Macaca fascicularis: one gene and its partners. The protein of the gene in region 6 purifies or fractionates together with the protein of the main gene of each other region. This does not show direct contact. Links are inferred from orthologs where the notes say so. Each region holds a gene or a part of one and is shown on either strand. Other genes may lie near its edges. The genes, in order: FUS, G3BP2, YBX1, DDX5, HNRNPU, IGF2BP3 and HNRNPA2B1.

Region 1 (4,058 bases), on a different chromosome or scaffold from region 6:
ACTTTATAAAGGTATACCAACTTCACCATTCTTAGGGCAATGTTACATCCCTCTTCCAGAATTAAAACATTTGGAGGTTGTCTCCCACTCTCACACACACACAAGCCTTGGACACAATGATCAAAAGGATCCTAAAGTCAAGATGGCACCACGTGTTCCAGCACGCACTCTCCAGTTTCTCATGATGATGGTCACTAAGTGCCAGGTGTGGCAACAGCCCTGTCCAAGGCCTACTAAACCCCTCTTATTAACCTGGGGCAAACCCATTTGGTAAAAGACGACTACTGAATCTTACCCCTGCCTGCTCCAGGTTAGCACACACCAGGCAACAGGTGGCATTCTACCCTACCCCTTTATGGAGGTGGTTCTGGACACTTCAAAACCTTTGACATTTAAATTAACACGCTAAGACATCTGCAAATGAACAATCAGACAAAGCATTGCTGGGAGTTGGGAATTTTGGAAACTCTGTTCACTTACCACCAAATTTATTGAAGCCACCACGGTCACTTCCGCTGGAGAAGACAAGTTAGAAGAAAGGACATGAAGCTTCCAACGGCTACAAAAGGGTGTTTTTTGATTTTGTTTAACATTTCCCAAACACGGGTAGGTGTTTTTGGAAAAAGATACAAGTGGCTACTAAAATACATCCCTTCCTGACCACCCCTTGTCTGACCTTTGAGCATGTCACACACACGTGTGCAATTTCTCAGACACAGTTTATAAAGATTTTGCTTTAAAAGGTTATGTATCTATTTCCTCTGGAAAAAAATGACCCATTTTCCTTGGTCGTTCTTCCGATGGAGCAGATGTTTTTTTTTCCTCTTGTCGCAAGTGGTTGACAACCAAGTAGTTGGTTTAAAAACCCTACCCCAATTTACCCAGAAGACATTTCACACCAGGCTGGGGTAGCCTTGAACACACTTTTGTGGTTTTTGCTTTGAAAGCAGCAAGCAGACCCAACCCCATTCCATAAAAAGTCAAAACCAAAGGCAACTTCCCCTTAAAGCAAGACAAACTTAGCTAAGCTCTGTCCTAACTACTGAGCTGTTTTTAATCTCCCCCAACCCCCGGGGTCACCCCTTCTACACTGCGAGAAGAGCGGAGTATTTTGCAATGTCACCTTTCATACCTGTGGCACATAAAATGCAGAGCAAGTTAACAGTCACATAACAGTTGTTTTTCTTTTTAAAGTTTTGCATTAAACACACGCACACAACAGAGTTTTCCTCATTTTTGTACGTTTTTGAGATTGCCCCCACCCACCTCTGCATACTTACCATATCCAAACTCAGTTTAAAAATCTACTTTTTCCAAAAACAGTTACACTGACATTCCTGCCCTTTTTCAAGGGAGACAGAGTGGGGTCCTTCAAATCGTATTTACCGACAGATTTGACAACTGTTTTAACATCAAATCTAAGGTTTTACTTCAAATCAACTTCAGCAGGAAGGAAAGAAGGTCCAGTTGGACAAGCTGATGAATTTTAAGTAACCAGGGTAAGGCAGACAGTGGAACAACTAGGTGGGAGACCACTGTCAAGCATATTTTTGCCCAAAAGGTCTGCACACTTCAGTCAGTTGGTCCCATAAACCAAGTCACACCCAAAATCAATGTCGGTCAAATTGGTGCAAATCAAGCTCGTGGATTCAAATGACTACAGAAAACGGGAAGAGTAACCAATTCCTGGAAGCTGAAGTCAGGTTAACCATTACCAACTCCCTAGAGGACACACGGGAACACACATACCAAGTTTCCCTACTATTTCCCAGGAGTGGGTTCATCGGTTTCCCTTGCAGAGAAAGAAGTCTTCACTTCCATGTTTCTTGCCTAGGATATCAATGACTCCAATCCATACGTATTGGAAATCTATGTATGATTTCTTTTTTTTGGAAACAAGTATCAATACTCAAAATCTCTATTCGGTGGTATGGATGGGAGTTCAGGCTCCCAAATTCTCACAAAAATAAAATGGGGATGTAAAAAGAAAATCACTGCCCCCAAATCAAAGCCCTCACAAATCCCCCAGACAACAAGAATACTAAACCATGCATTAGGGACTGGCTTCAGGGAGATTCATGCAATCCTCCACACTCCCCACCAAAGATACTCCCTGGCTCATGAGACACCTACCCCATGCCACCTCTGCCTCCACGGCCACCTCCACGACCTCTGGGTTCATAGCCACCACTGCTGCGGTTGTAACCACCACCACCGCCGCCGCCACCACTGCTGCCGCCCCTGCCACGGCCTCCACGGTCCTGCTGTCCGTAGCCACCGCCGCCTCCACCACTCTGGTCTTGATTGCCATAACCACCACCACCACCACCACTGCCGCCGCCGCCACCGCCGCCGCCGCCACCACTACCACCACTCATGGAGGATTGATCTTGGCCATAGCTACCTGTGAGAAAAAAAAGGATGGTTTAAAAAAAAAATTGTAAAGTAGCACAAAAAGGTATGACAAGTGCCAGGCAATGAAGTACAAAAGAAATTAAAAAGACAGCTAGGAAATAAAACAGGAACCCTTTTAGGCTAAAACAGAATACAAATCCTTATAGAAAATGGGCTGCAGACAAAGCTGAGGACATCTCACCTCCACCTCCACTACCACTGCTGCTGCTGTTGTACTGGTTCTGCTGTCCATAGCCCTGAGGGGGATTATAGCTTTGCTGCTGTCCATAGCTTTGCTGCTGTCCACCATAGCTAGGCTGCTGGCCGTAGCCCCCACTCGGGGGCTGCCCATAGCTGCTGGTCTGAGAACTGCTACCGTAACTAAGGAAAACAAACAAAAAACACAATCACAATCCCAGCATAGCCCCCCAATTTCCTTTTAGTGGATTCCATTCTCTGTACTCAACACAGGCTCCCCTACCCCAATTATACCTCTAAACTGCTCCTACTGCTGCTGGTCCCTTTATCATTCCTCATCAATTCACCCCTCTTTTCAAGCCTTCCCCGACATCGACACCACCGTACCTTCCCGAGGTGCTGCTGGGAGTTGGCTGCTGGCCATAGCCAGGGTAGGAGGACTGCTGCCCATAAGAAGATTGGGAGCTCTGGCTACTGCCATAGCCGCCAGTCGAGCCATATCCCTGGGGAGCTGACTGAGTTCCATAGCCTGCTACAAGAAAAAAGAAGTCACAAAAGCCACCAGGAAAAAGAAAATGTAAGAAATGTGTTAAAACATATACAACCTAATACCTATACTCAAAAAGTCAGCCTTTCAGAAGCTGTTCATAATCTTGCAACTCATAGTTACCCTCCTTTCAAAGCCCAAAGTTAATGCTCCAACTTCTATCCTCTCTAAGACAGTTCCAATTTAACCCCGCCAACCCCAACACCCTCTAATCCCAAGCCCAAGGATTCCTGTTAACAGCACTGTGATATGCAGCTGTGCATGCAGTTACGTACAGGACAACCACCTTTCTTAGTTACACTTCAGGACCTTGGGGCAATCCCACCTCCTTATGTATCACATGATTTCATACATTTGTTTCAAGCATAACCATTTTCTCCATTTAAGAATTGGCCTAAAACTGGTTCTCCCGTTAGAAAATATGCTCTTTCATGCTGAGATGGGAAATGAGAGTCATAAAAATTAAAAGCCAAAGAAAACAAATGTAAACAGAATCACAAACCAAAAAACATTTTTGTTTTTTGAGATGGGGCCGCAATACACTGCCCAGGCTGGAATGCAGTCGCTGTTCAGTCACTATCATAGCTCACTGCAGCCCCAAACTCCTGAACTCAAGGAATCCTCCTGCCTCAGACTCCTCAGTAGCTGGGACTACAGGTGTGCCACAATGCCCTGTAAAGGACTCAGATCCCAAAGAGTTTTAAGAATTATACACTCATTTAGGGAAAAGAAATATGGAAGAGTTTCAACACTTCAGTCCTGCTCAGGTTTAAGAAAAGGGACATTCAGGGCGTGATGGCTCACAACTGTAATCCCAGCACTTTGGGAGACTGACGCAGGTGGATCACAAGGTCAGGAGTTCTAGACCAGCCTATCGAACATGGTGAAACCCCATCTCTACTAAAAATACAAAAATCAG
Region 2 (4,058 bases), on a different chromosome or scaffold from region 6:
CTTACAACGACCCTGTGTAGTAGTTCCTGTTCCTGTTTTATAACCAAGGAAACTGAACTTAAAGACCTTAAGTAATTTACCTGTCCAAGATTACACAACTAGTGACAGAGCCGGATCCGGAACCTAGTCTATGACACCAGAATTCTACTGCCTCTTAGGCTTCTCTTGACAATTCAGTGTTAATCATTAATTATGGTTTTGCAGGTTTTATGGCAGGAATTCTTCCTATGTTCATGGTGGAGTAGATGCTAGTGGAAAGCCCCAGGAAGCTGTTTATGGCCAAAATGTAAGTATCAATTTCATATATAGTTTAGAAATGTTGTGTTAAGACAGAGATTTTTAAAAATAGCCTTCTTATGTCCATGGATTTTTTTTTTCAATATGATTGTTATTGGTAACTGAAATTTATGTTTGACAGTAATTGTCAACATAAATTGTCAGTAGTTGTTCAGTTTAACAATAATTGTGAGACATGCTTTGAGTTCTTAAACATCATTTTTGTGTGAAACGTGGTGTTACACTGCGATGGCTACAAAGAAGAGAACAGTATGTTTTATCTCATTGATGTATTTTATATAGCAGATAGTTAAGACAGTGTATTAAGTTTATACAAATCTGAGCTAAACCCTATGCTATAGGAATGCCCAGAAACATATGTTTCCTATGACCTAACAGGGAAGGAAGACTTTGTGTAGAGGATGTGAGACCATAAGATTTGGCCTTACCAAATAAAGAATTACAAGTAGACAAAAAATAGCATCAGCAAACACACAGTAAAATTATGTGTAAGTTCAAGGAGCAGACAACATATGAGAATGACTAAATACTTATTACAGAAAAGTGGGAGACAGCTGTATAAAGCCAGATTACTGCACAATATCAGAGAGCTATTGTGATTTCTTCTTTAGGAGCATCAGTCTGGCAGTGATGCATAGCATGGTCAGTGGATTCAGTTCAGTCAGGAAGATTAAGTAGTTAATACTGTGGAGTTGTAAGGAAATCAGTGAGGGCAGGTAATAGTATTGTGTAGGTAATGCAGTATTACAAGAGTTTATATTTTTCCCTCCCTCCCTAATAAAGGATATACACCACAAAGTGTTATCTCTGAACTTCAGTGAATGTCATACTAAAATTCGTCATGTGGATGCTCATGCAACCTTGAGTGATGGAGTAGTTGTCCAGGTCATGGGTTTGCTGTCTAACAGTGGACAACCAGAAAGGAAGTTTATGCAAACCTTTGTTCTGGCTCCTGAAGTAAGTTTCTCATTTCATTTAGTTTTCATTTATATGGTTGAATTTGGCTGTTGCTAGTTGGTTTGAAGTGTCCAAGGGTTTCTAATAAATTTAGATTTGCATACTGCTATTTTTGAAGAAGTTGTGTTTGACCTGTTGTTTGAGTGAGTGAGTGTGTGTGTGTGTACATATGCTTTGACTATTTGGAATTATAAGTCAAATACTGATATAAGCTTGTAAATGGATGATTAAGATTACATTAATACAAAAACTATATTGGTATATTTGAAAGGTTACATTTGAAAACAAAATAGAAAAGTTCTGTTGATTTCTTTTCTATTAAATAGCTGTTTCTTGAGTTCTAGGTTGGTGCAAAAGTAATGGCGAGTTTTACTGTTGTATTTTTTTGAGTGACCTTTTTATTTTATATAAACATCATAGCATGTTCAGCATTGGAAAATTATATTAAGTCCAGATTTCCAGTATTAAAATGAGAAATTGTGTATGCCATGTAATTTGCTTTTTTATATAATACCAGATTTCTGGGTATTTATGGAATAAATGTTGTTTCCTATAGGGATCTGTTCCAAATAAATTTTATGTTCACAATGATATGTTTCGTTATGAAGATGAAGTGTTTGGTGATTCTGAGCCTGAACTTGATGAAGGTGAGGTTACTTTGAAGATACGAAGATAGAAGGGTTCTGTTGGTACTCTTTATAGACTATTTTCTATAAGTATGACATTTATGGAAATTTGCTTCTTTATTGTAACTGAGTCAAACATCTTTTTTTGTGGTTTTGTTGTTGTTGTCATTGTTATAAAAAGATGTCCATTGTTTGAGATTATACAAAATTTGGATGTCAAGAAAAAAGGTTTCCCTCAGTCTCATCCTCTGTAGATAACCAAGTTTGGTACCTATTGGAGAAGGTTTTTGGATTCTATTCATAGCAGCATGTATTTTTATAAATGTGGAATTACACTGACTTAAAGCTTCCTTTTTTTTTTAATGTAGTATGTCTTTGTTGGCTGTCTACATTGTGGCTATGCCATAATTATTTAATTGATCTTCCATTGATGTACAGTGGTTAGTTTCTTTATCATTATTGGTCTATTAAATAGATGTGACGAAGGAAGCTAAATTGTGGCTTTAATATAATTTTTTTCCTTTTACGAAAATTTTTTTTTTTTCTAATAGAGTACAACAAATATTAAACTTCATCCTTGCTCTCCAGTTTTTGAGAGAACAGAGGATATTGCAGTTGAATGCCTTTGTTAAAAAAACAAAAAAAATTTTTTGGGGGCTGAGCAAGGTGGCTCACACCCAGAATCCCAGTGTTTTGGAAGGCCAAGGTGGGTGGATCACTTGAGACCAGGAGTTTGGGACCAGCCTGGCCAACACAGTGAAAACCCTATCTCTACTTTAAAAAAAAAAAAAAAAAAAAAAATTTAGCTGGGCGTGATGGCGCATACCTGTAACCCCAGCTACTCAAGAGGCTAAGGCCAGAGAATCGTTTGAACCCGGAAGGCGGAGGTTGCAGTGAGCCAAGATCACACCACTGCACTCCAGCCTGGGCAACAGAGCAAGACTCCATCTCAAAAAAAGAAAGAAAGAAAGAAAATTGTCAAATTTTCTTTTTTACTATCATACCACTTCCTTAAACATGTGAAAAATATGTTCATTAGAAATTGTGAAGCCTCTTTAAAAAAGATGTGCTGTTTTATGTATTGTCAGAATCAGAAGATGAAGTAGAAGAGGAGCAAGAAGAAAGACAACCATCTCCTGAACCTGTACAAGAAAATGCTAACAGTGGTTACTATGAAGCTCACCCTGTGACGTAAGAATAGTATTTGCAAGGTTAAATTTGGTCTGAACTATGTCAGCAAGGTGGTTTTTGTTCCTAGAATTATCGTTGGAAGTAAATTCTCGGTAAAGTCACCTATTAGGTCAGTATTTGAGTACCTATTGTATATATGCAAATTTGGAAAGAATTGTTTTATTTAATCCAAAAATTGAACATGCCTTGCACCAAAATAGTGGTTCCTTACTGATAATGTGGAGTGTTTAAGACAACACAGAGTAAGCATTTTATTTTTATAAAAGATAGGTTTATAGTTAGCATTAAACATTCTTAGTAATTCAGTTTTAAAATGGTGGGGTTAAGGAACTGCTACTTGAGAGTATTATTCCTTCTGTTTTATAGTTCTTTTTGGAATTTTGCTTTGAATACTTTGTAGATCTAGAACAGGTTATTGGCATATAACTAGTTACACCTATTGGATTAGAGAGAAATTGAATTTTGTCTTGAACTCCCACTAAAAAGTGAACTAAATATTTTATTGTAGTAATGGCATAGAGGAGCCTTTGGAAGAATCCTCTCATGAACCTGAACCTGAGACAGAATCTGAAACAAAGACTGAAGAGCTGAAACCACAAGTGGAGGAGAAGAACTTAGAAGAATTAGAGGAGAAATCTACTACTCCTCCTCCGGCAGAACCTGTTTCTCTGCCACAAGAACCACCAAAGGTTAGATCAAAGAACTCTTTAGACTTACAACATCACATGTTCAAATTTGGTGCTGTTAATGAAGTATGACCTTTCTCTATTATGTTAAATTGTTTAGTAAATTACTTTATGTATATGAAAGAAGCTGTGGGGTTTTTTTTTTTGTTATCTGAAAAAATGTTATTGTTTCCCTGCCCCGCAAAATACCCCCTAAGACTGAAATTTATAACTTAAGATGAATCCTTCCTTGTGTGTATGCATTGTTTAGTAGCTTAAATGAAATTATTTGGATCCATGTATAGAGCTGTCAGTTGTTCTT
Region 3 (4,571 bases), on a different chromosome or scaffold from region 6:
GGAACTACATATAGAACCAACTGCTAGCTTCCAAACTGATTTAACACATACATTTTCCTTAATTAAAGCAAATCTTCCCTGTATTTAATTGGAGTCAGATTTTACAGCATCTTATTAAAAAAATCCCAGAATAATTAAAACAACCAGTTCAGAAGCATAAAGAATATTTTAACCAGTTAATCTGACAAAATAATCGAGGTTAGGATAGTCCAAAGGACCATCAAAAGCCAATTCATAACTTGCCCTGGAGGATGACCAACTGAGTTGATTCCAATTCAGAACAGAGATATTCAATGAATAGTATCTCATGGACTAAATACTTATAAAGTGTAAAGATAATACTCTTATTTTGGACAAAACTATTGATTTCAAAAAATGTCATAACCTATGCCCACTTAAAAAAAAAATGCAGCGAAACAAGGCACATGCTAAAACTTCTTAAACACATACAAAAACTGCGATCTATCTGCTGAAAAGGATGCATATTTGCACACCAGAGTTACCATTACATTGGGTCAAGGGTTAAAAGCAGTGATTTTGAAGGTATGGCCCGAAGACCATTATCATTCCTGTTAAAAATGTACCCAGACCTAATGAATCCAAAGCTCAGAAGAAATACACCACTTAAATCACACCCTTCCAACGTAAGCACACTTAAATTTGAAAACCACTGGTTTAAGAGTTAGACTAGTAAGGACAGTCAGTAAGACACAAATACAAACTAAAACACTAACAAATTCAGACAGATCAGTTAAAAAGCTATCAGTTTACCAATCATATATAAGCATTCCCTTTCTTCTTTGCTAGTAAGCTTTTATCAAAAAATTAATGAAAACCGTAGTTTCAGCCAGCCAGGAAGGCAAACAGTATAGAACAAGTTGGAAAATCCTAAGATTCTGGAAGAAACAAAATGTTTTCCCACAATTGCAAAAGTAGAGAATAGATCATCAAATGCTTATCTCTTACTTTAAGTATTTCCACAATACTCTATGATTGATTAATGAACAGTTTTTCATCAGGCCATGAATCTGTCCTTAAGCTTGATTTTGCCCATTTGTTGTCCATTCCACGTTGTTCTTTTAATCATCTGCTTAGGTCTTCTACAGTAAGTAAGCAAGAGAATGCTGAGATGGCACTTAAGTACCATACCTGTGAGGCCAAGATTGCTACTGGCATACCCAGTGCTCTACACCCATGTAACTGCACTACTAGCCTTGGCAGCCATCTTGAAAATGATGCCCGGCTCACAAGGAAGCCCATGGAATACTGTGCGTCTACTGCACGTTACCACCACCACTGCCACAAACAACCCGAAGGGTAAGTCCTAAAGACGTATCTGCAGCTTTACCTTCAAACAGGAAGAACAATGTCAAGTTACTAGTGACTATGGCCACTCTAATAAGCTACAGCCAGGGATCTAGCGGAAATTGACTTCATCAGCATGATTTTAGGACAAGGAAGAATGAAATAAGAACTGAAGGAAAAAAACCATTTTCTTGCAGATATATTATTTATGAACAAATAAAAACAGTTCTCTCTGGTCAAAGCTGTGCTAATACAGAATTTATCTCAGGTATTAAAATGAAACGTGAAACAAAGGCAATACAACCTCTCGGTAAAGATGACAAAACCTCATATACTTGACACGTCAAATCCTCTTACCCCCAAAATGTTAACAAGGCGTAAATATCCGATGTCAGTGGATCACATTCTCAAATACCGAGTTCAATAAAGTAGAAAAGGATGACAAGAATAAAAATCTACTGGACCGTACTTTCCCGTTTACCCTGTTAAGGAATGGCTCATTCACTCCGCTTGCCTTTTAAATTGCTTTGTGCTGTGACGAAGCCCTTGAAGTTAGCTTCAAATTAATATTTAGCTGCAAAACAAAGGCATTCTCTAAACCCAAATCCCTCCAGTCGTCAAGGAAAACAAACAGACAAAAAATCACATTAATACACCAGAGGTAGTAAACGCCTTTCAGAAGAGGACTGTGGATTGGCACAGCAAGAAGCAAGCAAGAAGGTAGGATGGAGGCTTCAGAGCCCAGCAGCTCACCTGTTGATGAAACCATATCCGTTCCTTACATTGAACCATTTTACTGTTCCCAAAACCTTCGTTGCTGGAAAAGAAAACAAAGCAAAACAAGCCACGATTACCAGCTATCCTTTTCCAAACCCGTCTCGCTTCGGCATCCGGTCCCTCGCACGCTGCCCGCCGCGGCCACCTGACAGCCCTTTCTCTCCACCGCCTGGGTGCGGGTCCGCGCCGGGGCCACGCCGCCGCCGCCGCACACGTGGGTGAGTCTGAAGCGCGGGGCGCTCCCGGGCAGGCCCGGGGCGCGGGCCCAGGATGGGTGTGTTCGCAGGCCGCGGACGGAGAGCACGTGAGGGAAGGGGAAGCAGCTCCGGACTGCGTAGGCGGTGCGCCGCGCCCTCCGAGCACACGCGGAAGGGAGCTGGGTGGGGGAGACGCGAACAACGGCGTGCGGGCCCGAGCGCACGAGGCCAGTCGGCGGGGAGGGGACCCCGTCGCACACGCGGTCGGCGGCGCGCGGCCGCAGGAGGAGGGGCGCGCGGCCGCGCGGGGTCCACAGGGGGCGCGGGAGGCAGTGTGCGCGCGCCTGCCGGGCGGGCCCCCGCAAGAGCGAGTGGGGGGGCGGGGGGAGGGGCGGCCGCGCGCCGCGGAGTCGGTCCCCACCGGCCGCGCGCCCGCCGGCTCGCCCAGCCCCGGCTAACGGTTCCGCTGCCAGGCTGCCCGAAGGCCCCACCCCCGTCCCTGTCCGGTCCTCACCGATGACCTTCTTGTCCCCGCCGGCAGGCGCCGCCGATGTGAGGCCGCCCGGGCCACCGCTCCCTGCGCCGCTGCCCGTAGTGCCGGGCTTGGTGTCGGCGGCGCTGAGGGCGGGGGCGGCGGGGGGGGCGGCGGGCGGCTGCTGGGTCTCGGCCTCGCTGCTCATGGTTGCGGTGATGGTGACTGGGGCCGGCTGCGGCAGCTGCGGCTCCTCCCGGGGTGTGATGGTAACTAGGCCGGCGGCGGCGGTGGGGCTGCTCAGGGCTCTCTGGGGTCCGCTCTCCGCTCCCGCTACCGATCGAACTAGCGAGAATGGCGGGACAGGCGGGATAAGCCCTACGATCGACCCGCCCTAGGCGTTGTTCACTGGCCGGTGGTACTGTCAATCTGCCCACCTGACCTCAGTCCCTGGCTTCTATTGACTAACATTTTATCAGTCCTCCACTCTCATTGGCTGTCTGGCGGCTAATTCAGCCGACCTACAACCGTTCCTGCCTCCGCCGGCCGCCATAGAGACCGGAACTAGAATTAGAGTAGTCGGCCACGAAAACCATAGAGTACCTGAGAGGACGGGCAGAGGGAACGTGACTTCCACGAGGCAGTCGCCGGGCTGGCGGGCCCGACGTTCAGGGTTGTGTCTCGGCTGAAAAAAAGGCACGCCCGAACGCTGGGCAGGGATTACCCGGCCGGACCCGGGATTGGAAGGGGGCTCGACGACGCCTTAGCTCCCCGTGAAGAAAAGGCTTCCCTCCCTCCCTGCACCAAATACGGTCCCTGTGATCTGAGAACATTACGGCGGGCATAGAGTCGTCTTTTCTTTAATGGCCGTGTACTCGCGGCACAGCCGAGGGTTTCTGGAATTGCCTTAAACGTATGCGTTTGAAGAGCGTACGCTTTTGTCGGAGCAGTCACCTTGGAGGGACCACGCAGGCTCTGGCAGCCCGGGCTCAGCATGTTTAGGGCGAGGGTGTGCTCCGTGGGGACCTGCCTTCTGATCCGTTTTACCAGGCATATATTTTTAAAAATGTGTCTTCCTTTTCAAGTGTTAACGTGTTTTTCTACTGGCCACAAATCAGATTTAATTCAACTCACATTTATTGAACAAGCTAGCGTCCTATGTTTTTTTTCATTTAATTCGTACAACAGCCATGTGATAGAGGAATTACTATCCACGTTTCACAAACGATAAAATTGAGGCTGCCACCTGATGTTACTGAAGTCCTCCACCCACCTTCTTTCGTTCTTTTTTAAGCGTCTACTATCGGCTGGGGATGGAATAGTTCGCGAGTCAGTTTCTGCCTTCTGATGGAGGCAGAAATTTAAACAGCCAACACGGTAAATACTCCAGAGCTGCAGAAGCACGAAGTATTTTGGGAGTAGAAGCAGGGAGAAGGTGGAGGGCTGACTTTCTGCGCACAGGGTACAGGCGAGAAGGGGTGGGATCTCGGGAAATGCAGTCAAGTAGTTCAATAAGACTCGAATGTGACATTGGGTTGCAGAGGTGGGCAGAGTCACTTAGGTGTATTGAATTGGAAATATATCCTGAGGGGAAGAGTGAGAAAAGCAATTTTAGAGTCGTAAGTAGGGAGGGGCATCTTTTTAAAAATGGCTGCGGAGTGGAGAATGGGTTGCAGAGGGGCAAGGAATGGAAGTAGAGAAAGCAGTTAGGAGGCTAGTGCAGTATCCCTTACCCCTACCAATGCCGTCTAGGCCTGTCAGTTCCACCTCCTAAAGGCCTTCTTGAGTCAGTCCTAAACTCTCTAAATGTCAATTCAGAG
Region 4 (2,927 bases), on a different chromosome or scaffold from region 6:
AATCTTCAAAAGGCAGAACATATCACCTCTGCCCCGTAAACTGTTCTCTCCGAGGGAAAAAATGGAAGTTATCCTCACAGTTCACTGCCGTGGTATTTCTTCTGTCCCATGCTTTGCATGACTGCCATGGTACAGCCTTGTTTCAAACTGTTCACTGTGATCTGTGGGTCTTTGAGTTTCAGTGAGTTTGCTGAAATGTCGAAGAAATATTTCCAAACTTCAATGTTCAATGAAATTTTTGTTCAAGTTTGAAATGGAGAGAGCAGCTTTAAAAGGTACTAAGCCTTTTACAAATTGGTGAGTACTGGCACATGAGATCTAGAGCAGGAGCAACTTCTCACACATAGTCAGTGGGAAAAGAAAGTGCTTTGAAAGTTCCTCCCTCACCTACACAGTAGTCGTCATGTCGAGACCTGCCAGAGAGAGACACATTCTCAAGTGAATCCTGGCTTCTTGGAAGCGCTTGCCTAGACGAGACACAGTGCATAAAAACAACTTTTGGGGGACAGGTATGTTTTCTTGCAGCTGCGGTTGTAAGGTCTTGGCAAGACAAGCAGTGTGGCCAGAAGTTTGAACTTCTGATGAATGTGTAATGCAAAGGACCTTGTACATTTTTTTGTTTCAAGGTCCTCAAAATGAGCACATGAAGAGGTTGCTGTGAAACTTTAAGTGGCCCTACTGCGCAGAAGCATTCAGATGTCACTTGATGATCTGTAAGGGAACTTGCTGATTTGGGAATGTGCTAGGGAATACACATTCCTTTTGACAGGGTCTGTCACTGGGTGGGTGATAACTTATACAGATGACATGTGCTTTTTTTTCTTTTTTCAACCTCAATGGTATTCCTACAGGGAATGGATAACCATTTTAACTGTATTTTTTGCAGCCCGTACCTTCTTGGGAATACAATTGTCTAACTTTTTATTTTTGGTCTGGCTGTTGTGGTGTGCAAAACTCCGTACATTGCTATTTTGCCACACTGCAACACCTTACAGATGTGGAAGATGTGAAATTTGTCATCAATTATGACTACCCTAACTCCTCAGAGGATTATATTCATCGAATTGGAAGAACTGCTCGCAGTACCAAAACAGGCACAGCATACACTTTCTTTACACCTAATAACATAAAGCAAGTGAGCGACCTTATCTCTGTGCTTCGTGAAGCTAATCAAGCAATTAATCCCAAGTTGCTTCAGTTGGTCGAAGACAGAGGTTCAGGTAAGGATGACTGATAGGAAATGTTGGTAGTTGTGAGTCACATCGTTGTCTACAAATCCATTTAAATGGTATTGGAGGGTGAGTAAAACCTTGAACGGAAAACTTATGTTGAAAAACTGTAAAACCATTTCACGCCTGCAATGAATAGATCTAATTCTTTCTGTCCACAATGATTTGTGTCATAGACATAATTGATCAATTTGCAATTTTTTTTTTTTTTTTGACAGGTCGTTCCAGGGGTAGAGGAGGCATGAAGGATGACCGTCGGGACAGATACTCTGCGGGCAAAAGGGGTGGATTTAATACCTTTAGAGACAGGGAAAATTATGACAGAGGTTACTCTAGCCTGCTAAAGAGAGATTTTGGGGCAAAAACTCAGAATGGTGTTTACAGTGCTGCAAATTACACTAATGGGAGCTTTGGAAGTAATTTTGTGTCTGCTGGTATACAGACCAGTTTTAGGACTGGTAATCCAACAGGGACTTACCAGAATGGTTATGATAGCACTCAGCAATACGGAAGTAATGTTCCAAATATGCACAATGGTATGAACCAACAGGCATATGCATATCCTGCTACTGCAGCCGCACCTATGATTGGTTATCCAATGCCAACAGGATATTCTCAATAAGACTTTAGAAGTATATGTAAATGTCTGTTTTTCATAATTGCTCTTTATATTGTGTGTTATCTGACAAGATAGTTATTTAAGAAACATGGGAATTGCAGAAATGACTGCAGTGCAGCAGTAATTATGGTGCACTTTTTCGCTATTTAAGTTGGATATTTCTCTACATTCCTGAAACAATTTTTAGGTTTTTTTTGTACTAGAAAATGCAGGCAGTGTTTTCACAAAAGTAAATGTACAGTGATTTGAAATACAATAAATGAAGGCAATGCATGGCCTTCCAATAAAAAATATTTGAAGACTGAATTAAGTGGAAATTGTACTTTATTTTATATATATAATGTTATGTAAAACTTTGCTTAGATGGTCTGGTTTTTTTTGTTTTGTTTTGTTTTTAATCATGAAAACAAATGACTGCTCCTTTTTATTTAATTTGGGAGGCAGGGGGAATCAGAAGGCCCTTTACAATGAACTATATTGCAGGAGTCAATGAACTGATTTAGGTGAATTTTTAGTTATAGGCTACATTGCATAAAAGCTTTGTCAGCTCCCAACATCAGGGGAGTCATTTAATATAGCCTTTTCCTTATTTGCTAGTATGGTTAAATGAGAGAATAGTGAAATAGATACAAAGTCATCTATGTAATGTGAGAATGTGGATGACTTTGGCAAAATTTATAATTTAAAAAGCTCCAAATAACTGGTTTTTTTTCAAGAGATTTATTCTCATGCTCTTGGCTATACTGTGAATTACTGAAATGTTGAACAAACCTGTGAAAGACATACATTCGCTCTTTAAGATGGCCAGGAGCTAAACTTGAGTCTCCTTAACTGATTGAGTTTGCACAACGTTCTCAGTGCAGGTTACTTGTAGATTCTAGTCTTCACAGGCTCCCTGGGGCTCTTAACTGTAGTCACGCTGGGAGTCATGAATGTCTTTCCAATAATTCAGGGAATTTTAGAGATCTTCAAACTGTAAGGTCTATTCATACTCAACACAAGGAAAAAACCTCATTAAAATTAATGACTAATCAGGAGGCAACATAACCAAAAGCACAGTGAATAAAAGTTTTCATGGT
Region 5 (4,560 bases), on a different chromosome or scaffold from region 6:
ACTCCTTTTTCACCTGCAGTTTTTTACTTCAAAAAGGCTCAGATGACTATCTCAACCTTCTGTAAAGGACATTCCAGTAAGAAAGAGTTTTACATTTACACTCTTACAAATCTGAATAAAACCAAATTGTACAAGAAAACATGAGAAGCTAAGCTTCAATGCCCTCCATCTAAAAGAGCAGGCTGACACCACAGCTGATACTTTCAAACAGGTATTTCTATTCTTTGGTCTATTTATCACACCCAGAGTTGTGAATTCTGGTCACTAAACCAACTACTTTTTTTTATAACAACAACAAAAAAAATGCAAGTCTGACAGTCAAAGCCCACTTAGAGGTTTGCAATACTTTCTCATACTCAATTGCAACCCAACTGGGTGAAGTAGCAGTATTTACAGTGCTGCACTGCCATTGATACCATTCGCTGCTGAAGAAAGCTAGTGGCCCAGTGATAGCCCACTGCTGCTGCCTCAGGTCTTTGGAAGAAATCAACTTATGTTTAAAGCAGCAGCTACTGAACTGGAATTGAGAACAAAAGAGCAGTTATTGAAAAAATAATATTACAATCTTTTAGAATAGGGAATATACTTGTGTGCTAATGGGAGAAGTCATTAGTAAATATTTAACTAGCCCAAATAGCTCACTTAATATAATTCCACAAAAAAATGAATTACTTTATTGTAGAAGCCTGTAAGGCTAAATTATAGGTAGTGTTACAAGTTTCCGTTAGCTAGTCAGAAACTGGCATTAATTTTACATTTCCTAAGAACGAGAACTTTCAAGTCATAAAAATATGAAACTCCTAGAGCCTGTAAAATAATCCATTTGATACAACTGATGCCGTGCTAAATATTAAACTACTAGGTTCTGAATATAAACCATTATCTCTTCCTGCTTTTAAAAAAAACTAACCCAACTTTTGCTGCACTTAAGCATTAAGTTTTCTAACATTTTGGAAGCAAAAAAAAAAAATAAAAACCATCACCGCATTTCATAATTGGGGAGAAACAGCTTCACTTACAAGTATCAAGACAAACCACTGTGTCATCGAAGTGTTCATCTTCTTCTTCAACAGGTGGCTGAGGAGATTTGGCTCTGAAAGACAGAATTGTCTCCTGATACAGCTTTCCGATCAACGAACGAATAAGGGATGACAAGTAAAACTAGGTGAGCATCCTATACCTGCTATACTTGTTCTCTTCAATGTACTCAAAATATCCACGGCCATGATCTTCTCGTGGTCTTTTAACACCCCTCTTTTTATCTCCGCCTTTCTGTTCTGTTTTGCCGTCCCCTAAAACACACAAGACCCCCATAAGAGGCCAGGCCGCTAAACAACAACAAAAAAGCGCTTTTCCGTTCCGAGAAGCAAAGCAGCTCGACTTTATCCTGCTTTTTAACTGAGGTTTTAACCGAGGACTCAAATGTGAATTCGAAGAACAATCAGCTACGAATTGGATTAGCGCTAGTGACGCAGTCTAAAGACGTTACGAATTTTGCCAGTCTCCTCGATGATTCGAGAAACCCAAAGAAAAACTGCGCGGCCCAGGCCCGAAGCCCACGTGTATCGCGACCAGGGCGCAGGAGGGGGAGGGGCCGAGCCCGGCGCGGCGGCGCTCCCCTCCCCCGCGGGCCCGCGCTCCCCGCGGCCGCATTGTACTGATCTTCCGCCCCCCGCCCCGCCCCGCCCGGCTCCTCCCGCAGGAAGTGACGTCACGCCGAGCCCCTGCGCTCCTTGCACAATACAGCGGCGAGGAGCCGCCAAAGCGCGCCCGCCCCGGGACCTGGGGCCTCTCCCCTCCCCCCGAGACATGTGCCCGCACCGCGCGCACGCAGCGCGACGGCGCCACCGCGGGCCGACCGGGCTCCCTCCCGCCGCCCGCCCGCGGCTCCTCCCCCTCCAGCGGCAGCTGCAGCTCCCCCCGGCTCTCGAGCCACATAATGGAGGCGCTGCCACCGCCGTCACACACACACACACACACACGAACACACGCACACACGCCCCGAGCCCGAGGCCTCTCGGCTAATCTGGGATTCCCCGCGCCCCCTCCCCCACCCGCCACCCTCCCCGCGGCCCCCGCCCGCCCGGGGCTCCCTCCCCCTGCGGGGCTCCGGCAGGCCTGGGGCACGGTCCCCACCCCGCGCGGGCCTCCCGCCGCGCGCAACGTACAACGCAGCACTCACCCGCCGCCGGAGCCCCGGGGCGACCGCCGCCTCCGCCGCCTTCCGCCTTCTTCTTACCTCCCGCCTGCTGCTGGCCCTGCCTCGCCCCGGGCGGCGCCACCGTCACCGCGAACAGCGAGGTGGGGCCGCTGCTCTTCCCCGCGGCCTCCTTGGCGGCCCCGCGCTGCTGTTGGGTCTGTTGCTGCTGCGTCGCCGGCGGTTGAGGCTGCTGCTCCCCGTGCCCGTTCTCGTCGCCCGCGCCTTCCTCTTCGTCCCCGAGCTCATCTTCCCCTTCCTGGAAACCCTGATCGTCGCCGTTCTCGTCTTCCGAGGCGGCCTCCTCCTCCTCCATCGGGCCCGAGTCGGCCGCCCCCGCGGCCCCGTTCTCCTCTCCTAGCTCCATCTGGTCGCCGTCCAGGGCGGAGATTCCTTCCTCCTCCTCTTCCTCTTCCTCCTCCTCTTCATCGCCGCCGACCGCGGCCTCCTGCTCGAGGCCTGCTCCCGAGCGCCCGGCGGAATCCCCGCCCAGGTCTAGGCTGCCGTTCCCGGGCTCCATGGCGGGGCGGCCCCCGGCCTCCTCGTCGTCCAGCGCGGCCTGGAGTCGCTCCATGAGCTCGGCCTTGAGACCCTTGTCAGAAAGGCGTCGCTTCTTGAGCTCCTCTTTCAGCTCCGACACCTTCAGCTTTTTTACATTAACAGGCGAGGAACTCATGGTGAGGGCCCCGATTCACCGCTAGGCGCTGCCTCAAACTCGGCTCCGCTCACTCGGCCACTGGTGGCGGCTGCTGCGGCTGCTCCTCGGCCCGGGCGGCGGCTGCGGCTGCGGCTGGAGATGGGGTCGTGCTGCAGAGCGGATCCGCCTGGTGTCGAACGGCGCCAATTCCTTTCACCGAGTTCGCGAGGGAGACGCGGAGACTCGCCTGGCGCGAGCGAGCACGCAACGTCCTCTCGCAGGGGCGGCGCCGCGCACGTAATATAGGCGCCCCGCCCCCTGCGCTGACGGGAGCGCTGCGCAGGAGGAAAGCCGGAGCGCGCCCGCGCTCGGCCCCGCCCATTACCGTACTTACCTCCCCGCCCCCACGCCGAACCCGGGCGGAGAGCGCGGCGCAGGCCGCGCAGTGCGCTTCCAATTGGGACTGAGCAAATGGAGGAAAAGGAAACCGCCTTTCAGTTAAACCGACTCACTGCACAATCTATTGGCCTTTCTGGGTCTTTGGTGGCTATACTCGTTTGGCTTTTCGCCTTCCCAGCCTGGAGGCTGCTTTGTCCAAATGCTTTCTTCAGTCCTCAACTTGGCATTTCAACCCGAATACGCCTTTTCTTCCATCTTAGATCTGCCTTCTTGTATGTTTCTCCAGCTTTTCGTTTAAAACTCCTTCAAATCGTTTTGACTGGTATAACACACATTGGCAACTGTTACACGCAGGGGCTCTTTTCAGCATAATGCTGTATTTGATTTAATATGTGTAAGTCCTGCTTTGCGAATTGGATTTTAAGTTCGAGAAGGGCAAGGGCAGAGCCGTTCTTTTGTCTGTTCCACACCCCGGGTGCAGGGCCTGGGAAGTAGAGGCTTTGCTTACTACTCCATACTGCAAACCCTAGTTTACCAGCCTTTGCAGGGCTATTCTCATGCTCTTAATAACCCTAAATAAACCACAGAATTGCATTTCCAAGTTTTCTGTACCTACCACAAAGACGGACCTCCAGTAAGGCTTGTTCTGTCCACTTTAGGACCTGGTCATCGGCTATGAAGTCTCAGTAGTTAACCATGAGGGTGAGACCCAGCTAGGTCTTTGATTATAGGCCCACTTGATTCTCTTCCTATTCCTGTAGAAATACTCTTGACCAAATCATTCTGAAACTTAAAGTTCATGAAAAATCAAGGGCAGTGATTTTGTTAAAAAAAAAAAAAAAAAAAAAAGGACTATCGCTCTTGAAAAGAAATCCGTTATTTTGTATGTTAGAAGTTTACTTTTTCGCTTTAAATAAAAGATGTGATGTTCCCGAAGTTTTAGACAGGGAAGTCAGAATTTAGATTCGTGATAGAAGTTAACGTCTTAAACCCCAGATAATCTGCAGTGTCCAGCCAGTGTTCCATCTGACTAAGGAGATGGTTTATACCCACTGTTTGGTACTCTAGGTGGCACAATAATATTGCCCCATTATTAATTTGAAATTTGGAGGTATACATATTGAAATTTCTCCCATAGGCTAATGGGATTTAACTGATTGATGCATTTTACTTTTGAAGTTTATTTTCAATGGCTTTTATGAAGCATTCTGTCATACCTTGCAGCCATGTATACGTGAAATATTAACATTTGTGAAATGATTTGACTTGAAATTAATGGACTATGTACGGTACTACTGATAATCCCCAGTTCAAGTTAAGTGGTGAG
Region 6 (4,763 bases):
TTGGCTGAAGGTTTTAAAAAATAAAACAAAACAAAAAAATAGAGCCGGAATCTGGCCGGCTCTAGCGAAAGGAAAGGAGTCGCTGCAAAAGGCTTCATAAGAAAAAGAAAAAGGGAAAGAGCCATGTCTCCAAAATGCTTCAGAGGCTAAAACAACCTGCAAACATTCTGTAAAGGGACATACTACACACATGATCTCGGAGACGAGAAATCCCCCTCCTTAAGTGGCACAAAATCTTCCTGTCTTCATCATTTGGTGGTTGTAAGCAAAAATGTACCCAGGAGGAGTAGGGTGGAAAGCGGGGAGACAAAGGTGCTGACTGCAAGAACCTGTAGAACTTTGGAATGACTCAAAGGCACTTCTGGGCCGGAGAGGCCCCGGCGTTTACGCACGCGTTCCAATACCCCTGGCGAGCTCACAGGGCAGAGGCAAATTCCTCTCCAGTCGGCCGCGCCCACGGCCTCCCAAATCCGGACAGAAAGGCGCGCCCCCCGCGTGTCCGCAGCTGGTTTCGCCTTTCTTGCTCCTGGAGGGGTAGGGGAATCATCCGCTGCTTCCCAAGTCCTGCAGAGTACCCCCCGAAACTGCTTGTTGCGACCCATTTCCCGTAGGAGCAATTTGACCCGCTGTGACCGAGGACATTCAGCTGTGAGCTTCCGAGAGATTTTGTAACCAATAACCATAATCCCGCGGCAGAGGCCACAGACAAGCTTTCAATTCCTACCCAGCATCATCAACACACACACACACACCCCCGCCATAAACTTAAAAGCAAGGGGAAAAGACCAGAACACCACGCCACACCGCAGCCGGGTAAGCACCAAAGGACAAGTTCTCAGCTGAGTCTCTCCACCCAATAACGGAGTGAGAACAGAATCGGGGGAAACAGAAGCAGCAGCTCACCTTTGCCTTTTTGGGACCGAGTGCTCAACTTCTATGGGTTTCCCGTGCAGTTCTATTTTACCTGCGGACACACAAGAAGTGAGAGACGGTCGGCCGAGTTCAGCGGCTCTCCCTGCCCGAAAGACCCGCACAGCCCAACTGGCGACACAAATGGCCTCCTGAGGCCCCCGAAGGGTCCCCGAGACCCGGACGCGGCTCCAGACGGAGGGAGAAGCCGACCCCCTCGGGCGGCGTGGGCATTTAACTCGCAGATGGTTGAGGAGCAGGGTCCGCTGACGGGCCCACTACTTGGGTATCAGTCCAGTCCCCAAAGCCTCCCCCACCCACCCCTGGGGGCCACCAACACGAAGCCCCCAAGAGGGACACGGCCCATCCTCTCACCGCCCTGGACACGCTCCACAGGACAGACTCGGGGCAGGGGGCTCCCCTGGCTTTCTTCTGGAGGGGGCGCCCTGGCTCTGCCCTCTGCTTCAGCCCAACCCGCCGGGAACACTTAGGAGTGGGCTTGGGGAGGACAGGGAGTGGCGGGAAAGGGTCGGGGACGGCAGGGGAGACCCAGAACGGGAGAACTGGCAGAGGCGCAGCTCGGCTCAGGCTGAACCAAGAGCGAAGGACTGCGAGGCGCCCGCACCACGTCTGAGTTGATTAAAAGGGAAGCCGAAAAGCACGGGGCTCCCATGGGGACCCCAGCACAGCCTTCCCCCGGGCGTCCCGCCCCGCCCGGCACCGTCCCTCGCCCTGGCGGAGCCATACCCGGAGGCCGCAGCCCCGCGCCAGGGCCCGGAGAGCGGCGGGCGGCCCGGTGCGTGGCGGCGACTCCCTTCCAGGCGACCAGCCGCCCCCGCCCACCTGCCCCTATCGCTCGTCGGACCGGGGGAGGTGGAACGGGGAAACCGGGCACACTCTCTCCTCCCGCAGGGTGGGGAGGAAGCGCGGGGCCGCCTGTGCGAGGCACCAGCCCCGCGGTCTCACTCGGCAGCAAGGTCGAGGCCACTTTCCGTTCTCCACGGCCGGGGTTTCGGGGCGCAGAACAGACAGCGCCGTAAATAACGACCGAGGAAAGCAGGAAGGAATGAGACACAGGCGGGCATTCTAGCTCGGCCCCCGAGGCCCAGCGTGCCGGGGCCTGGAGCACGCGCCTGGGCCCGGGCGGGGCGCCGGGGGAGCGCGCCTCCCCCAGCCCCGCGCCCCCCTTAGCCAGCGCCGGGGCTTTCTTGACAGCGCGTCCGCCCTCACCCAACAAACCCCGGCCGGGGAAGCAGAGCCGCGGGCTGGAGTGGGAGCCGAAGCTGAGGAGAGCCCCGGCCCCCACGCGCGTGGGTGTGGGCGCTGAGGCCTCACCCCCGCTCCCCCAGCGCGCCGGGCCTGGGGCCCGCGGAACCACCCCGGTGGGTCTGGGCGGGCGGTGCAGGGCTGGGGCGAGAGCCCGGGTGGGGCCAGGCCCGGGCCCACCTGAAAGCGCCTCGATGGCCTTGAGGGCCCAGCTCTCGTCCGGGCAGTCCACGAACGCGTAGCCAGTCTTCACCAGGAAGGGTCCCGACACCGGGATCTTGGCGTCCTTGAAGATACTTTCTAGGTCCGAGGGGGCGGCGTTGTCGCTGAGGTTTCCGATATACAGTTTGTTCATTGTGAAGAGTGGTTGTTTAAAAAAAAAATTAACGAGAAAAACGAAAAATTAAAACCACCCACGGTGATGGATGGATCCAGCTGGTTTTGTTCCCCTCGTCTTCTCGCCTTTAAAATACACAAACACAGTAAGAACCAAGCACAAGAATGAGGAGCGAAAAATCAGATCCGAGGCTTGTTTTTCCTTGTCTAGATATGTTTTAAAAGAGAAAGAAAAGAAAAAGCCTAGCTACAACCCAAACGCATCCACCAGTCTTCCTAAGTCTGAGAAGGAGGCGGGATTAGCAAGAGAAAGGAGGAGGAGGAGGGGAAAAAACTACTTTTTGTCTCTTCCTCCCCAACCCCTTTGGCTTCGGCCAGCGGACTGTGAAAATATCACACTACGTGAGGCAGGCGCCGCCTCCCCATAAAAAACCCAGAAGGGTGACTGGCAGGAGGGAGGGGAGAGGAGGAGGAGGAGGGATGAAGGCGCAGGAGGCGGAAAAAATCCGCTCCGAGTGTCCGGCTTTTTGAATGAGCCACGTGTTCAAACTACAAATCAACGTCTCACGTGAGGAATCCCAGAGCCTCAATTAGAGTGGGTTTCAGAGAAAAAAAAAAAAGCGAGCGAGAGGAAGAGGGGGAGGGGAAACGAGATTGGGAGAGGGACCCTGAGAAGGCGGAGGAGGAAGAGGGAAAATGCTAAAGGAACCGCAGCCGGCACCGAGGGGAGCGCGGCGCGGGGCGCTGACGGTCACAACTCGAGTTTGGAAAGGGTTATCTGGTCTGGGCGGATCCTGGGAGGGAGGGCTGGAATATTGATTTTTTTTTTTTTTTTTTAATGAGGAAATGGGTAGAGGTACTAACAGGCAATTCCTCAGCTTTAGTTACCGTAGTTTTAATCATTCGATTTTTCAAAATAGGTTATTAACAACAAAACCAGAGTCACAATCTCGAACTCGCCTGGTGGCTTTAATGGCATTAGAAGTGTAACCCCAGCAAAGCCGCAGGCACGTTTCTAAGGCTGGCAGGGACGGAAACGATGCGAGGAGGGGTGGGGGACTGGGTGAAGGGGGCAAGGGGTAGTGGCAAGACAGGCGGGCGACGCACCCCACCCTGTGCGCCCTTCTCGGGCCCCGGGCACCCCGCGAGTGGGGGCGGCCCGGGCCCGGGGCGGTGGGGGATGGGAGCCCGCAGCGTCCTGGGCGGGTGTCTGGGCGACACCTCCTCCGCCTCCGCCTGCGCTCGCGGTGGCTCTCGGCTTCGCGTTTGCCATTGGTTGCGCGATTCAGAAAAGGCTCCAGGATAAATGAGGCCGGGGGCGGGCTTGGCCACTGGTGGGGGAGGGGAGTGCAGGGGCGGAGGTTTCTAGCTAGGGGCTGGGGTCGTCGGGGACCTGGGCCGCTGGAGGAGAGAAGTCAAAGTGGGAGAAGTCGGTACTTAAAGGGAAATCCTCTCTTCCTGTAGTTTTTAAAGGGGGAGGAGTGGAGCAGGCTGGTACTTTTATTTAATTAATTTTAGTTGGAGAACTTGAGACTTAAAATTGGAAGACCGTCCTGCGTTACCCCTAGGTGGGATTCGTATTTGAAAAACTGTTCGAGCCTCTTTCTGCCTCTTTTCTGCCTACATTTGGTCATGAGAGCCATACATAATTTTCTCTATATGTAATGAGCACAATGGTGGTTGTCGGGGGAGGATTTGGGCCCGGTGGAGCCTTTGTGGGCCAACACAATGTGAACTGGAGACGAGCAATACGGAAACGAAGGCAGTGCTGGGGTTCTAGTGGAAATCTCCAAGTGTCGTTTAATGATTGTGTACTCCACTCAAAGCTTTCATTTGCACTAGATAGTTGTGTTTTTAACAGGTATATTTTTAACAGGTATTCTATGGAAAAGATATAAAATGCTAATTTTTTAAGTGAAATAAATTCTATATAACATGAAAATATAGACAAGAATCTTTAATGACTTGGTACTCTTACTGGTAGAAAAAAGGTATCCTGAATAGAGGAAATATTGTGATTTACGCTGGAAACATCTTCGGTAATTGTTAAAAGCTTCTCTGTCAAAACCGTTGTTAGCATTTTAAAATGTGTATTTTTCATTTAAAAGATGAATGGTAGATTTAAACATGGGAATTACTGCATGATATAAAGAGTATTTACATTTTGCCTTTTAAAGGGAACTTACTTTGTAATTTTGTGTTAAGGAACCGGAAGGTGTCAAATCATCCATTTTAAATGCAACTGTTCTTTC
Region 7 (4,058 bases), about 2.7 Mb from region 6:
TGTACCCACTTAAATACCTGTAACGCTACAGCTTTCCCTCAATACTAAAAATCTTAAGTTATCTTGAAATACTACATGTATATAGTGGGTAAGGTTGTGAGGCTAGACTAGCAGTGTGGGTTAGGGAGAAAGTAAAAGAGCACTTCCCCCTACTGGCCCAAAAGAAAGTTTCTATTATGTCTCCCTACGAATTACATCTTTTAAAACAATGTTCTCGGTCAGGCACGGGGGCTCCCGCCTGTAAACTTTGGGAGGCTGAGGTGGGTGGATCACAAGGTCAAGAGATAAGAAGACCATCTGGCTAACACGGTGAAACCCATCTCCACTAAAAATACAAAAAATTAGCCGGGTGTAGTGGCAGGCGCCTGTAGTCCTAACTACTCGGGAGGCTGAGTCAGGAGAATGGAGTGAACCAGGGAGGCAAAGGTTGCAGTGAGCTGTTATTGCGCCACTGCACTCCAGCCTGGGCGACAGAGAGACTCTCTGAAACAAAACAAAACAATGTTGTTGGCCAGGCCCAGGAGCTCACATCTGTAATCCCAGCAGTAAGGGAAGTTGAGGCGGGTGGATTGCTTGAGCCCAGGAATTCAAGACCAGTCAGGGCGACATAGCAAAACCCCTACACCCCTACAAAAAAACACAAAATTAGCTGGTTAACAGTGGTGCACCCTGTAGCTCCAGCTACCCAGGAGGCTAAGGTGGGAGGATGGCTTGAGGCTAAGGGTGCAGTGAGCTAAGATCACACCACTGCACTCCAGTCTGAGCAACAAAGCCAGACCCCATCTCAAAGAAAAAAAAATAGGCACAACACTCTACACAGTATGTTCTTTACTGTAAACAGAAGTAGGGACAAATGAAACACTTTCACATAATGCAAAACCTAAACAAAACAAAACATCCGGGCACAGTGGCTCACGCCTGTAATCCCAGCACTTTTGGGAGGCCAAGGTGGGCGGATCACGAGGTCAGGAGTTTAAGACCAGCCTGACCAACATGGGGAAACCCTGTCTCTACTAAATACCAAAATTAGGTGGGCGTGGTGGTGCACACCGGTAATCCCAGCTACTCAGGAGGCTGAGGCAGGAGAATCACTTGGACCGGGAAGGCAGAGGTTGTAGTGAGCAGACACACGCCACTACACTCCAGCCTGGGCAACAGAGCAAGGCTGTCTCAAAAAAACAAAAGCCACCTTATAAAAAGGGGAAAAAAAAAAAAAAGCTTCTGTTGTGGGCTGAGTCTCAAATTACTTGTAGTTAAATACAAGAACTCAGCTTTCTCTAAAATTTTAAATGGTAGAACTTAAGTCACACCTAATGAGTGGCAACACCAGAAATCAAGTCTATTACCAGCTCATAGTTTTAAATGTCCCTTCCTTATCACAAAATCTGTCTTGGGCACCAGCCTTTTCTGTACGCCAATAAAACTGATATATTTATTATATCACATTTCAGGTTCAATGGTAGTTCATAACCTTATCTGTAGCCAGGAGCACAGTGAACATTTTGGAAAATTTCCTTAGGTTACTTTTTGAAAGTTATCCTGGGATGCTTACCATCTAGTTAAGGGTTTAGACATATTTTACATTTTTCTCCTACGTATTCTCCCCCCTTAGATTTTACTCAGTTAAATCCAGTCTTCTGCACTTTTCCAGAAAGCACAGTACAAAAACATATCTAGATCCAATTATTTTGCTTAAGATGGAATACTGTGATTATCTTTAAATTTTCATTTTAAATAGCACTGTATTCCTTAGGCTGTAACTACTAAGACGTCAAATTACTTATAAAAGAAATAACTGGACCACTATCACCTAAGCCCTTTATAAGGGGCAATATAAAATGTTTAAAAACTCAAAATATAAATGAACTAAATATACAATATGGTTAAGTATTAGTCACATAAACAAACCAAAATATAGAGGAAACTGACCTCCAGGCCCTCCTCCATACCCATTATAGCCATCCCCAAATCCACGTCCACTGCCATATCCATCTGTTAGGGAGCAAAAAAGATTACATTTACTATAAGCTGTTCACCATTATTACTAATACTCATTTTTTCAGTTCTCTTAATACCTCAGCACAATAATTAAGAACCTCAGAAAAGCACACGCTAGTGCTACTAGTTTATTCACAAAACATGAAAGCATATAATTAAATCTCATTACCACCTAAATTTTGAACTCTTAACTGAACAAGTCTCAATTTTAGAGATTCCATTTCATTTATACATAAGAATGACACTTCATGGGGCCAAAGCTTTTCTGATGACACTTCATTTTACATTATCAATCCAGATAACTTATTAACACAACCCTATTAAACTTCTTGTCTGGCCAAGTCACAGGAACTTGCCAGGATACTATCTATTTGAAGTCTTAGGGAAAGGTTTTGATTTACGTTGATTTCCTGATTCTACTAATGAAAACCTAATCATATTTAAAATAAAAGCACACTCATCCTTTAAACACATAGAATTTGAACTTACCAGATCCTCCTCTGAAGTTACTTCCTGGTCCTGGTCCGAAATTTCCACCGCCACCACGCGAATCCCCGAAGCCGAAGTTGCCTACAATAAATGCCCCAGTTAGAAGCAAGCCCTTACATGAATAAAAATAAAGAAGAAACAGAATTGAAATTACCTCCTCTTCCACTCCTAGAACTCTGAACTTCTTGCATTTCTTGTCTAGACAAAGCCTTTCTTACTTCTGCATTATGACCATTGATGGTATGGTATTTCTGCACTGCAATGAAAAATTCAAACTCCTTTTAAATTAAATCAACAACATTAAACAACTTTAAAAGTTTACCTTTCAATAAAATTAGATGTTAACATACACAAAATTGAATACATGGTAAGAACAGTACATTTGTGGTTAGACACTTACATACGATTTTATCCACAGGATCATGGTCATCAAAAGTAACAAAGCCAAAGCCTCTTTTCTTTCCAGACTGTCTATCAGTAATTATCTCAATGGTATCAATTTTTCCATATTCCTCAAAGTAATCTCTAAGGTGATGTTCCTCAGTATCTTCTTTAATTCCGCCAACAAACAGCTTCTTCACAGTTACATGAGCCCCTGGTTTTCCAGATTCCTAAAATATTGGTGGGGTAAAAGTCATCCCGACAGAAAAAAACACAAGCATGATTCAAAGTAGCCGACCTTTGTACCATACTTGGCTTGTATCGACCTTAAAACTACCAGATCTACAACAACAGCTTTTAGGGACCTAGCTTTTGACAAATAAGTTAGCTTCAGAAAATGGTCCAAAAACCCAACAGAGCTTTAATAAAATCTTGAGTTAAAACTAAATTCAGAGATACTTTCCGATGTTCAGCAAGGCAGCATTCTTTATGTTAATTGCACAAGACAGTCATGGTTTGCTTACCTCTCTTGCTACAGCACGTTTTGGCTCAACTACTCTCCCATCAATTGAATGAGGTCTTGCAGCCATGGCAGCATCAACCTCAGCCATGGATGAGAAAGTTACAAAACCAAATCCTCTTGATCTTTTGCTTGCAGGATCCCTCATTACCTTTCAAACCAAAGAGGAAACTTTAGCATTTAATCTCATTATAACTTATAAGTAAACAGTCATTATAATAGAATTTACTATGCTGATATAGTTACTTCCTCCATGATTCACTTAAACAGCTACGATACTAACATACAGTAACAATTCAGTAACTTACGTACCACACAGTCTGTAAGCTTTCCCCATTGTTCGTAATAGTTCCTCAAACTTTCTTCTGTGGTTTCAAAGCTTAAGCCACCAATAAAGAGCTTACGGAACTGTTCCTTTTCTCTCTGCAAAGGAAAATACCATTTCAATTTTTATTTACATTTTCCTCTTTGTATGCAGGAAATTAAATTCTTAAATATGAGGTGACCTGCTGGCAGAGTACCTTTTTCCTCTCCAAAGGAACAGTTTCTAAAGTTTTCTGGGGGGGAAAAAAAAAACTTACATCAAATTTAAACCATATGTTAAACTGCATATTAGTTGTGTTACACCAAAAAAATTGCCTCAGCTGATCTACACAAGTTTCAAAGTCAT

What was found.
Region 1: the proteins of IGF2BP3 (region 6) and FUS purify together in Homo sapiens (affinity purification with mass spectrometry; 3 studies listed by BioGRID and IntAct, with this or other methods). This does not show direct contact. The link is inferred for Macaca fascicularis from reciprocal best matches to the Homo sapiens genes IGF2BP3 and FUS.
Region 2: the proteins of IGF2BP3 (region 6) and G3BP2 purify together in Homo sapiens (affinity purification with mass spectrometry; 3 studies listed by BioGRID and IntAct, with this or other methods). This does not show direct contact. The link is inferred for Macaca fascicularis from reciprocal best matches to the Homo sapiens genes IGF2BP3 and G3BP2.
Region 3: the proteins of IGF2BP3 (region 6) and YBX1 purify together in Homo sapiens (affinity purification with mass spectrometry; 3 studies listed by BioGRID and IntAct, with this or other methods). This does not show direct contact. The link is inferred for Macaca fascicularis from reciprocal best matches to the Homo sapiens genes IGF2BP3 and YBX1.
Region 4: the proteins of IGF2BP3 (region 6) and DDX5 fractionate together in Homo sapiens (co-fractionation; 3 studies listed by BioGRID, with this or other methods). This does not show direct contact. The link is inferred for Macaca fascicularis from reciprocal best matches to the Homo sapiens genes IGF2BP3 and DDX5.
Region 5: the proteins of IGF2BP3 (region 6) and HNRNPU purify together in Homo sapiens (affinity purification with mass spectrometry; 3 studies listed by BioGRID and IntAct, with this or other methods). This does not show direct contact. The link is inferred for Macaca fascicularis from reciprocal best matches to the Homo sapiens genes IGF2BP3 and HNRNPU.
Region 7: the proteins of IGF2BP3 (region 6) and HNRNPA2B1 purify together in Homo sapiens (affinity purification with mass spectrometry; 4 studies listed by BioGRID and IntAct, with this or other methods). This does not show direct contact. The link is inferred for Macaca fascicularis from reciprocal best matches to the Homo sapiens genes IGF2BP3 and HNRNPA2B1.

Annotation. Positions count from the first base shown.
Region 1 is NC_088394.1:29,371,241-29,375,298, reverse strand, and holds part of FUS (RNA-binding protein FUS), read right to left. Parts: intron 3,125-4,058; coding exon of another isoform or gene 3,122-3,124; coding exon 2,980-3,121; intron 2,776-2,979; coding exon 2,597-2,775; intron 2,405-2,596; coding exon 2,134-2,404; intron 516-2,133; coding exon 481-515; intron 1-480. UniProt on the Homo sapiens protein: DNA/RNA-binding protein that plays a role in various cellular processes such as transcription regulation, RNA splicing, RNA transport, DNA repair and damage response. Binds to ssRNA containing the consensus sequence 5'-AGGUAA-3'.
Region 2 is NC_088379.1:58,222,283-58,226,340, forward strand, and holds part of G3BP2 (ras GTPase-activating protein-binding protein 2), read left to right. Parts: intron 1-204; coding exon 205-286; intron 287-1,080; coding exon 1,081-1,254; intron 1,255-1,810; coding exon 1,811-1,901; intron 1,902-2,968; coding exon 2,969-3,071; intron 3,072-3,579; coding exon 3,580-3,760; intron 3,761-4,058.
Region 3 is NC_088375.1:192,186,438-192,191,008, forward strand, and holds the start of YBX1 (Y-box-binding protein 1), read right to left. Parts: upstream 3,099-4,571; 5' UTR 2,960-3,098; coding exon 2,160-2,959; intron 2,123-2,159; coding exon of another isoform or gene 2,059-2,122; intron 1-2,058. UniProt on the Homo sapiens protein: DNA- and RNA-binding protein involved in various processes, such as translational repression, RNA stabilization, mRNA splicing, DNA repair and transcription regulation.
Region 4 is NC_088390.1:71,091,049-71,093,975, reverse strand, and holds the end of DDX5 (probable ATP-dependent RNA helicase DDX5), read left to right. Parts: intron 1-995; coding exon 996-1,220; intron 1,221-1,447; coding exon 1,448-1,851; 3' UTR 1,852-2,154; downstream 2,155-2,927. UniProt on the Homo sapiens protein: Involved in the alternative regulation of pre-mRNA splicing; its RNA helicase activity is necessary for increasing tau exon 10 inclusion and occurs in a RBM4-dependent manner. Binds to the tau pre-mRNA in the stem-loop region downstream of exon 10.
Region 5 is NC_088375.1:4,313,649-4,318,208, reverse strand, and holds the start of HNRNPU (heterogeneous nuclear ribonucleoprotein U), read right to left. Parts: upstream 3,112-4,560; 5' UTR 2,874-3,111; coding exon 2,183-2,873; intron 1,293-2,182; coding exon 1,181-1,292; intron 1,094-1,180; coding exon 1,020-1,093; intron 1-1,019. UniProt on the Homo sapiens protein: DNA- and RNA-binding protein involved in several cellular processes such as nuclear chromatin organization, telomere-length regulation, transcription, mRNA alternative splicing and stability, Xist-mediated transcriptional silencing and mitotic cell progression.
Region 6 is NC_088377.1:106,804,092-106,808,854, reverse strand, and holds the start of IGF2BP3 (insulin-like growth factor 2 mRNA-binding protein 3), read right to left. Parts: upstream 2,912-4,763; 5' UTR 2,531-2,911; coding exon 2,356-2,530; intron 965-2,355; coding exon 904-964; intron 1-903. UniProt on the Homo sapiens protein: RNA-binding factor that may recruit target transcripts to cytoplasmic protein-RNA complexes (mRNPs). This transcript 'caging' into mRNPs allows mRNA transport and transient storage.
Region 7 is NC_088377.1:104,109,243-104,113,300, reverse strand, and holds part of HNRNPA2B1 (heterogeneous nuclear ribonucleoproteins A2/B1), read right to left. Parts: intron 3,946-4,058; coding exon 3,910-3,945; intron 3,812-3,909; coding exon 3,701-3,811; intron 3,540-3,700; coding exon 3,393-3,539; intron 3,099-3,392; coding exon 2,888-3,098; intron 2,744-2,887; coding exon 2,642-2,743; intron 2,569-2,641; coding exon 2,488-2,568; intron 1,993-2,487; coding exon 1,930-1,992; intron 1-1,929. UniProt on the Homo sapiens protein: Heterogeneous nuclear ribonucleoprotein (hnRNP) that associates with nascent pre-mRNAs, packaging them into hnRNP particles.